Drosophila melanogaster: one gene and its partner. The protein of the gene in region 1 interacts with the protein of each later gene in a pairwise test. Each region holds a gene or a part of one and is shown in the gene's direction. Other genes may lie near its edges.

Region 1 (4,308 bases):
CACCAGTGTGGTGAAACTGCCGCACCAAAAGCACGAGCAGCTGCAAATCCAGGGCAACCAGGTGCGATTTGTGCACACGCTGCTCACGGAAACGTACAAGGTGCCGCCCAAGTGCATCCTGGGCCTGGAATTGGCCAAGGACGGCAAGAAGAATAAGAAGAAGTGAGCCGGACAATAAATGAAGCCTCCTCCGCCTGTCCTCTTGAGTGTAATAATAAATTATTTATTAACTGTAGTGGGGATGAACCAATTACTGCTACGCGAACAACAACAACGAATGGGATTGGCTACATCTTGAACAGAAGCGTAATCAGAATGCTCTGACTTGTGCCGTATTTGAGTGGATTCTCATGAGGTGTGGCCTGCGTGCTTACTTGGCCTTGCCCTGGGCGGCCACAGCCTCGATGGCCTTCTTCACGGTCTCCTCGTCGCCGAGGAACTGCATGGACACCACCGGCTTGAAGTTCTCGTCCAGCTCGTAGACGAACGGAATGCCCGTGGGCAGATTTAGGGCCATGATGGCGTCCTCAGAAAGGTCTGGATTGGACAAGGATATGGTAAAAAGATGATATGATATATGTTATGTCTCCCATGCTCACTGTCTAAATGCTTGACGATGCCACGGAGGCTGTTGCCGTGGGCAGCGATCAGGATGCGCTTGCCCTCCTTCATCTGGGGAATGATGACGTCGTTCCAGTAGGGCAGTGTGCGTTCGATGGTCAGCTTGAGGGACTCGAACTGGGGGAACTCCTCGGGCTTGGGACCCTCGGCGTAGCGGGGATCCTTGACGATGTTCTCGTAGTACGGATGGCCCGGCTCCATCGGTGGTGGCGGGGTGTCGAAGCTGCGACGCCAGATCTGCACCTGGGCCTCGCCGTACTTGGCGGCGGTCTCGGCCTTGTTCAGGCCAGTGAGTCCACCGTAGTGGCGCTCGTTCAGGCGCCAAGTCTTCTGGATGGGGATCTCCTTGTGGCCACTGGCCTTCAGGATGCTGGCCAGCGTCACCTGGGCGCGGGTCAGCACCGAGGTGTGGGCCACATCGAACTCCAGGCCGGCATCCTTGACGGCCTTGCCGGCGGCTAGGGCCTCCTCCTGACCTGTTTGGGCAAATGTTTAGCGAACATTAAGTATACGCCGTGTTGGGTAACGAACGTAAGCCAATTTAATCTAATTGAAAGGCATGCGTTTAATTTAATTTGATTACTAGGGTTAAAAAAAGGCGATAACCTATCAAATTATGCTCATAAGCATAATCTGAACTTTAGAAACATATGAGATGGCAAATTTTTGACTTTAAAGTGTAACAAACTAGAATTTTGATGCTTCTGAAAATTGCACTGGAAAGCTTTTGTTTGTAGAGACCTATTTTTATCACAGAAAAGTTTGAATGAGATAATGTTGCACTAGGTCAATGAAGATTAATTTGGGTAAATGAAAAGGAATACTATTGTGAAACTGATCAAAGCAAAGGATCATCGATTGGAAACTAGATGTACATCAGATTTTTAATCCCACATATGAGGTTTAAATTTCAAATTGATGTAATCACTCACCCTTTTCGCTGAGGTTGGCGTCGTACCAGCCGCAGAACTGATTCTTCTGGTTCCACTCGGACTCGCCGTGGCGCACCATCACGATCTTGTACTTGCCGCCCATTTTAGCTGCGTTGATCACTCTGCGGATAATTGTGTACTCGTTCTTAAGCTGCCGCCTTGCTGCGACTGCAATATGTGGGAATTCTGCTGAAGTTTGACCTACAAGGGAGCCGTCCAAGGTCGCAGCTGTCAGGCCGCGATATTGCCGTTCTGTTGGAAAAACGTAGTGCGCAGATGCGGTGCCTTCTCTGATTGGACTCCGGAGTATGGTCTTATTGGAATAGCGCGTCAAGCTACCTTCAAATGTCCAATTAGTTTGCGCTGTGCAACAGGTTGGCATCCCCCGCGCAGATGTTATCGCTCGCGTTTGTCATCACTATATTCGTGTTTTGGTTTTTAAATTTGGCTGTTTTTAAATTTTGCTCCCATAAATTCCAACTTTTTGTCACTTAAAGCATGTGCGAAAAGGTCACCGCGCGCTGCACTTGGCCCCAGCTGTCGGGCAACGGGCTGGACCAACTGGTGGCCACCCGCTTGTCCGACGAAGACGTCTTTGTGAAGTGAGACAAAGGATTCCACGCCCCGAAACTGGTTTTTATCAAGTAATTTTGAAACCTCCTTTGTCCGCAGGCCCGACTTGGACGACGTGATCGACGAGAATCGCGCCGTGCTGTTTTCCATGCAGTCGGCGGATCCGCCGCCGCCTTGTGAGCTGCGCTTCCAGATCCCGAACCGCTTCAAAATCGCCGCGCTCACCCTGATTTGCAGCGCTCCCAAGGTGGAGCTGTTCATTGGACCCTTGCAGGAGTACTGCGAGACCATCTACGGCACTTGCGTCGACGATGAGGACCCAGAGGTTGCGGTGCGACCCTATCGCTATGACATGGAAATCGACCGATCCGGGATAAATGACATAAACCTGAAGATGCTCACCTCGGCCAGCGAGATCTGCGTTTACGGAGCCCTGCTCCAGGTGGCGCCGAATCCCAACGGCATAACCACCCAGTTGCCCAGGCCAATGGATGCGCAGCGAATCCAAGAGCTGCTGCAAAGGGGTGGCACGAGTCCCTTGAAGAAGGAGGAGCAGGCCGAAAAGTTCGAGCAGTTCATGAGCCTGATGAAGGGCTATTCCCCGCAGGCGAAGGACCAAACCCAAGAGACTGCACCGCCTTCCACCGATGTTGCAATCCTCAAGGAGCACATCGACATGAGATTTGAGAAGCTGACGCTGTTAGTGTCTAAGAGACTGGACAACTTCGAGGCCCAGCAGACGGAAAAGTTAAACAAAATTATTGCCTTGCTGGAAAAGGAAAAATAAGTAATATACCATTAATTTGCTAATCTGTAATTTCTTTCTTAGCATTGTCATCATTGTATTTTGTAATTGTTGTAAAAGACTGTTGGTGCGAATATTTCGAATGTGATTAGGCAACATATTTAAGTTTGGTTTTGAATGTAATGTACATTAAATAAAATATTCTTCTCTTAAAATCATAAATTTTTTCTTTTTCGCTTGGAATATTTGAATTTCAACCACTTTCGATAGACCAACATCAGCTGTGCCCGAACCGAACTTTATCGATAACCACCTGTTGCATTTGTTTACGTTTTGTATGGCCGAAGAGAAAGTAAGTTGGCTTAAAAGCTCGTCATGGCCCAGATCGTAGGTTAAAGTTGGTGGGAATCGTCTACTTTCGTTGCGCGAGTTCATGAATTTATCCATCCGCGCTATTTCGGCCATCTGCGGCGTTTTCTTGGGCTGCTGCAGTGGCGTCGTCTTCTTGGAGCTCCTGGTTAAACTGGATCCCGGCGCTGGAAACCTTATAACTGGCGCCCAGTTTGCATTTATTGCCCTCGAGGGCTTCATCTTCACCTCGAAGTTTGGCCTGGCCCAGAGAGTGATCAGCCTGCGCGACTATGCGCTCCTCGTGGCCATGTTTTTCCTGACCAGCGTATGCAACAACTACGTGTTCAAGTTCAAAGTTCCAATGACACTGCACATGATCATACGCGGCGGTTCGCTGATCTCCAACATGTGCCTGTGCACGTTGATCCTGAAGAGGAGTTACCGGTTGAGTCAGTACATATCGGTGCTCATGATCAGCGTGGGCATTTTCGTCTGCACATATTTCTCCAGTCCGGATTTGGTGGGTAAGATGGAGAATTTGGATAGTGGCGCCGAGGCGGATACGTTCTGGTGGCTGTTGGGCGTGGCACTCTTGGTGCTGGCTCTATTTGTTTCCTCCTACATGGGAATTACACAGGAGTTGCTGTATCGACGTCATGGCAAGTGCGCCAGGGAAGCGTTGTATTACACCCACCTGTTGCCGCTGCCCGCCTTCCTGCTCATGCATGACGACATACGGACGCACTGGCTTTTGGCGTTCACGGGCGAGTCCTACCAGTTGCCCCTCCTGGGCGTGGCAGTGCCCCTAATCCTGCTATACTTATTGGGCAACGTGCTTGCGCAGCATTTGTGCATCAGCTCCGTTTACACCCTGACCACGGAGTGCAGCTCGCTGACGGTGACTCTGATCCTCACACTCCGCAAGTTCATCTCGCTGGTCTTTTCGATCGTATACTTCCGAAATCCCTTCACCTGGTGGCACTGGCTGGGCACCGCGCTAGTCTTTGTGGGCACCTTGATGTTTGCAAATGTGATCAGAGTTCCGAAATGAAAAAACCAGGCTGTGAAACAGGAATAGGCTTTCCA
Region 2 (6,095 bases), on another chromosome or scaffold:
CAAACAAATTAATAAACAAATAGAAACGGAAATAAAAAAAATTAAATACAAACCTTTGGCACTACTTGAATCTGTGACGCTAAGTTGCCCGCCGACGGCGACATGATCATGTTGGCCACCACGTGCTGGCGCCGACCGGAGGACTGGGATTGGTTTTGATTGTGCTCCTGCAGCTGCAGTTGCTCCCCATCGACCACGCTCGCGGGATAGAAGGTTTGCTTGATCTCCAGCCCGGGCGGTAGGTTGAAAACTAGATTTTCGCCACCACCACCGGCGTCCACTGAGGATGCCTCACTGGCAAAATCGAGCTGCCGATGTTCCTGTTTCACCTGCAGCTGCAGCACGTTCTTAATGTCCTCCTGCCCCGCTCCATTGTCCTCCAGCTTCGTCCAGCAGAGGTTCTGCTGCTGCTGCTGTTGCTGCAGGGTGCTTTGTATCACAGATGAGTAGGCCACCGTGGTGGGTGTGGCAGCAGCAGACGATCCAGCGCCCGCTTCTTGCCGCCTTTGCACAGGGGATGCCGTCTTGTAGACGATCACCTGGGCCTGCGGTGTGCTGACCACGTCCACCGCATGTAAATTCGTGATGGGCGATCCATCTGCGGAGCTTAGCGCCGGACTGGCATATTGCACCGGATAGGATCCCGCCGGAACTGGCACTGCCAGCGGCACCGGACTGGCATCCTGTTGGTCTACTATCGTTGCCCGATACGGCTGGCCATCCTTCCGCGTCACCTTGACCTTCCGGCCATCAATGGTGTAATAGGTGTCCGGTTCTGTGTCTGCCTCGGCGATCTCCTGTTGCAGTTGCTGGTGGAGCTGCTGCTGTTGCTGCTGCGCCGCTGTCTGTTGTTGCTGCTGCTGCTGTTGCAGTTGGATCAGGTAAATCGAGTCGTTGTAGGCTTTTAATTGCTTTTCCTGCTTAATCTGCTACAGCGCACCGTACATAGATTGAATCGGAATCGGAAAGTGTTTGGTTTGGGATTGATTCGACATAGAGAGGCTAGACTTAGTCTATGCTTTGATGGGTTTATTGGAAGGGATGTTATGTTAGTATGCGATAAATGCGATAGAGCCTGCGGGGTTTTAATAAGTGTGTGTGCTTCCCCAGAAGCTGGCGTAAACCATAATAGAAGAGTGATCTGAAAGCCGAACGTAAAACAAACGAATTCTACTCACCACTTTGTCGGCCACCAGGTTTAGCTGTTGCTGTTGCGCCTGCTGCTGTTGCTGTTGGGCCTGTTGTTGCTGCTGTTGTGCCTGCTGCTGTTGCTGCTGTGCCTGCTGCTGTTGCATGGCCAGGAAGGTGTTCGATATCATGTTCGGCGTGTTCCAGGTCAGCGACGTCGACGTCAGGGCCACCGTTGTGGGCGATGGTGAGGCTCCACTCGACGAGGAGTTCTCCCCGTAATAGTTCGAGGCAACATTGTTGACTACAGCAGCCGCTGCCGCCGACACGGCCGCCTGGTTCTGGAACGAACTGAGCTGCTTGTCCAGCGAACTGGGCAGCTGCAGCTGGCGGTGCGGCGTGCTCACCGCTGACGAGGCATAGTGGGCGGGCTTAGGCTGGACACTGGCCGCCGCCGCATGGTGGTAGATCTGCTGGAATACTGGGTTGTAGCTGCCAATCGGTGACGGAGGCACAAAGCTGCCACCACTGGCGGCCGCCGCATTAAAGCTGGCGATGCTTGCTGCCGTAATGGTGGCCAGGTGTGGATGCTGGAAGTCCTCTGCTGTTCCGCCGGAGCTTCCGGCACTGGCGGGCACGATGCGGTTGTAGGCGTATGACCAGGGACTGGAATTGGGATCCATGTTTGGCTTGGGCTCTTCTACTGCTGATGGCTGGTAACTGAAACAAATAGCAAAACTTTAGTGGTTTTTGAATATAATTAGCGGCTTATATGTAAAGGATTAACTAATTGGAGTTTATTATTGCTCGGATACATTTCCAATGGTCATGTGTTAAGTCTAAAAATCCCGCCCATATTTATCAATTTAGCGGTAGCTTAGATTATAACATATTTATATTGTTATCACAAGTTGCTTGCCATGGCATTCATAATATAGAGGGGAAAAAGGCGCGAATTCAATTAATGTTATTTATGGATCAATAATAATTACTATAAAATTATTGATATTTATATGTGGTCAAACATATTTTGTTTATCTTTTATTGTAAATCAATAAACACATAGTAGAAGTACACTTTAGAATGAAACACTCCAGTTTTGGGGTGTTTGTTCCCCAACTTTTCTGCACTGAAGGGATCCCCCTATTTTTTTCGTATCTTCATTTTTTTTGTATCCCTTTTGGCCACGATGCGCTTGGTTCCCCCTTCAAAAAAATTGGCGTCTGTATTTTTTGCCTTGGCGCTCGGCGGCAAGGAGACCGCATTTTTGAAGTTTCAGCGTCAATGGGTTAATGTGGGTGCTCACTTATGACATTACAATGACGGGGCCATCACATTGGCTGGGATTTATGCTGTTTTTGGCAATGTTTTTCTGCCTGGGAATAGGATTTTTTCCCGTATTTTCCGCTTGTACATATATGTATCCATGCACACAATCACACACACACACACACATACTCACACACACGGGCGTACATGCGTGCGTGTTGGAAGATAGTCACTAACTTTTAGTCGTTATAGAATCGGAACTGTCGGTCTGCTCGGGCCCAGCATTATCTTCACATCGGATCGGCCAGCACAACAACGCTTCAATATGCACGAGCGGATTTTATGTTTAACTAACAGCGAACGTTCTTTTTTTTAGATTCGGTGCATAACTTTTTTGTGGATGAAACAATCTCCAAAATGGCCGCTCTGCTGCCAGTGAAAAACGAACCACTGGCTCAGGTGAATGATGCCACGGTGAACTTGTTCATCGGTTCACTAGTTCGCGCGCCGAGTGTTTATTGTTTGTTTTGCCGTCGTCCTCGCATTTCGTCTTTGTTAATTTCCTCAAAAAGTATACTGCGTCTTGTGTTCTTCGTGGCATAGGTTAGTCAAAAACATAATTAAGTCATGTTGTGTGAACAATTCACCGTGAAATTTGACCAGCAATTATATTCCCATGTGCTATGCAATAGCAACAAGTGTTGTATAATACGCTTTTTATCGGGTCTACAGTCATTACTAGTTAACTTTGTTGTGTATTTACATTTTACGAGCATTTATTAAGGCACATTTGATAAGATATAAACAAATTAATCGTAACTCCTCTGAAGGTTGTGTTTACTGAACTCGCGCGTTTCCTAACACTGATCAATTGGAACTAGTTGATTTCAAAAACCATGAGAACTTTACAAAATCTGAAAACAAAAAAAAAAATAAAATAATTCCAAACTTAAATATTATATTAAATCTAGGTTTTATTAACTATATGTACGGTTCTAAATTATATATGAACGAATCAAGCCACCACCATTACACATTTTGCAACACTAATTGACCAGAAACCCAGTGGAAAATTGACGCTGCTGATATAATTTAAAAGTTTAGTTAAGGAAAAATTAAATGTTCTTACTTTGGTTTTTTCAACATACATTATCATAAACTTGTAGCTTAATAATACAAAATGTAGCTAAATCTTTAACTCGTTATCCGTGATGTTAAGGAATGTTGAATTCGGCTTTGACAAGTAAAATAGTTAACAATGGTTTCTGTTCCTTAAATATTACTAATTTGTATACATTTAAAAGATTTGGCATAATAACTGGTGTAAAAAAATATTTATTTTTTAATATAAAAATCATAACATTAAATTTAAAACCATCGCGTTGCGATATATGTTGCATTATCCAGCACTGTTCGGCTGGAACCAGTTCGATAGCCCGCTGTTTTATGGTTGGTTCACGTACTAATGACAGTCATTTTACGTATTCATTGCTAAAAGAAAACTGAAAAAATACATTTGACCAAGTTTCCGGTTAGTCATCCGCCCACACCGATCTTCAATTAGTCCTAACCGAATCAAAGGAGAGGTGCGTAGTGCCCAATTGTCAATGAATCGGGGGGAATCCGCCAGCAGCTGGCTGCTCCTCTGCGTACGTGTAAATCTGGGTGAGACGCCCACTAAATAGCAATCACAACATTTCCAGAGAGCACATAGCCATGGACTTCGGAGACGATTTCGCTGCCAAGGAGGACGTGGATCCGGCGGCCGAGTTCCTGGCGCGCGAACAGTCAGCTCTCGGGGACTTGGAGGCGGAGATTACGGGTGGATCTGCATCAGCTCCTCCGGCTGCATCCACAGACGAGGGCTTGGGTGAGCTTCTGGGAGGCACCGCCTCCGAAGGCGATCTGCTCTCTGCTGGCGGCACGGGTGGCCTCGAATCCTCCACTGGCAGTTTTGAGGTCATTGGTGGCGAGTCCAATGAACCCGTGGGCATATCCGGTCCGCCGCCGTCGCGGGAAGAGCCCGAAAAGATACGCAAATGGCGCGAAGAGCAAAAGCAACGACTGGAGGAGAAGGACATCGAGGAGGAGCGAAAAAAGGAGGAACTCCGACAGCAGTCCAAGAAGGAGCTGGACGACTGGTTGCGCCAGATTGGCGAGTCCATATCGAAGACCAAACTGGCGTCGCGGAATGCCGAGAAACAAGCCGCCACCCTGGAGAATGGCACCATCGAGCCGGGCACCGAATGGGAGCGCATAGCCAAGCTCTGCGACTTCAATCCCAAGGTGAACAAGGCGGGAAAGGACGTCTCCCGCATGCGATCCATCTACCTGCACCTCAAGCAGAATCCCATCCAGGTGCAGAAGAGCACCTAGGTAGTTTTAATTACGCACTCGCCTAACCACATTGAGTTGAATATGAAAATTATTATTGAAAGTATTCGCTGTATATTCCAATTTATGATACATAAAATATTATTATTGCTGCTATAACATAGCCGCGATCATCGTTTTGTCTAATGAATGCAATAAAGAATGTGCACACAGTTGTCATGCTTTCCTTGACTATCATATACCCCATCACACAAAATAAGAAAAACGACATGAAAAAGTTAGGAAAAAGAACAAATAAAAAATAAAACCAAGGATATGACAACTAAAGTGTTTTTTCGTTCATTTTGTTAATCAAGCAGGGTTGCACATCAAGGGGCTTTAATTACTTCCAGTTTTGTTGTAAATAATATTTATTGCTCTATAAAACGCATTATACAAACCATTTATTATTCTTATCTCTAGTTAGTTATACACATACAACTTGTTTTCATCATATATGTGTGTTGGAAATATCAATGGGTTGGAAATGGAATATGGTTGTGTATGGATTTGCATTCATTAAATGATTATTAAAATAAAGACATACAGACAACTGAGGCAAGTATTTGTCATTGCAGAGCTGGTTTAATGTATGCATTATATGAATGAAATACGCATAAAGAAACCAATTACGATAATGAAAAGTGGATATCAGAAATCATAATTTAATTATTTCCATCGCTTAATAAGGTTTTCTACTTGTTTTGCAGAAATGGCTGAAGTTTCCGCTCAAGATTTGATATCCCAGTTGTCGAAGTCACCCGAAAGCCACAAGAGAAAGGAATATCTGCATTGGGATGACTACTTTATGGCCACCTCACTGCTCTCCGCCAAACGCAGCAAAGATCCCGTCACCCAAGTGGGCGCCTGCATCGTGGATTCCCAGAATCGGATAGTGGCCATTGGATACAATGGGTTCCCTCGCAACTGCAGCGATGACGTGTTTCCGTGGTCAAAAGCTAAGAAAGGCTCGCAGGAATTTGATCCCCTGGAAGACAAGAAGATGTACGTGGTCCACGCGGAGGCCAATGCAATCCTGAACAGCAACGGCATGAGTTTGTCTGGAACTCGACTGTATACCACACTATTTCCGTGCAACGAATGTGCCAAACTCATTATACAGGTAAAACTAATATTAACGAAGGAAGCCGAATATAGGATTTCTGTTCTATTATTTGAAATGCAACTTTAATATTTTCATATGGCAGCTGTATAATTTAGTCGTCCTATTTTGATAAAATGAAAAACGAATTAATATATGGAAAAACAACGGTTGTGTACAAAATTACACCAATATATGATCACAAACATGGAAGCACAATCTT

What was found. The genes of interacting proteins can lie anywhere in the genome.
Region 2: the proteins of CG11882 (region 1) and Clc interact in a two-hybrid assay, tested with the Drosophila melanogaster proteins (2 studies listed by BioGRID).

Annotation. Positions count from the first base shown.
Region 1 is NT_033777.3:29,145,798-29,150,105, reverse strand, and holds CG11882 (uncharacterized protein), read left to right. Parts: upstream 1-1,933; 5' UTR 1,934-2,051; coding exon 2,052-2,155; intron 2,156-2,225; coding exon 2,226-2,913; 3' UTR 2,914-3,090; downstream 3,091-4,308. Other genes in the region: eIF2D (eukaryotic translation initiation factor 2D), read left to right, coding at 1-166; Pglym78 (phosphoglyceromutase 78), read right to left, coding at 371-537, 600-1,097, 1,554-1,656; CG14511 (uncharacterized protein), read left to right, coding at 3,305-4,273.
Region 2 is NT_037436.4:20,238,685-20,244,779, forward strand, and holds Clc (clathrin light chain), read left to right. Parts: upstream 1-2,368; 5' UTR 2,369-2,422; intron 2,423-2,434; exon of another isoform or gene 2,435-2,856; intron 2,857-2,878; exon of another isoform or gene 2,879-3,000; intron 3,001-3,160; exon of another isoform or gene 3,161-3,219; intron 3,220-3,821; exon of another isoform or gene 3,822-4,100; 5' UTR 4,101-4,113; coding exon 4,114-4,773; 3' UTR 4,774-5,051; downstream 5,052-6,095. Other genes in the region: CG17233 (uncharacterized protein), read right to left, coding at 54-929, 1,179-1,811; CG6951 (uncharacterized protein), read left to right, coding at 5,483-5,893. UniProt on the Drosophila melanogaster protein: Clathrin is the major protein of the polyhedral coat of coated pits and vesicles.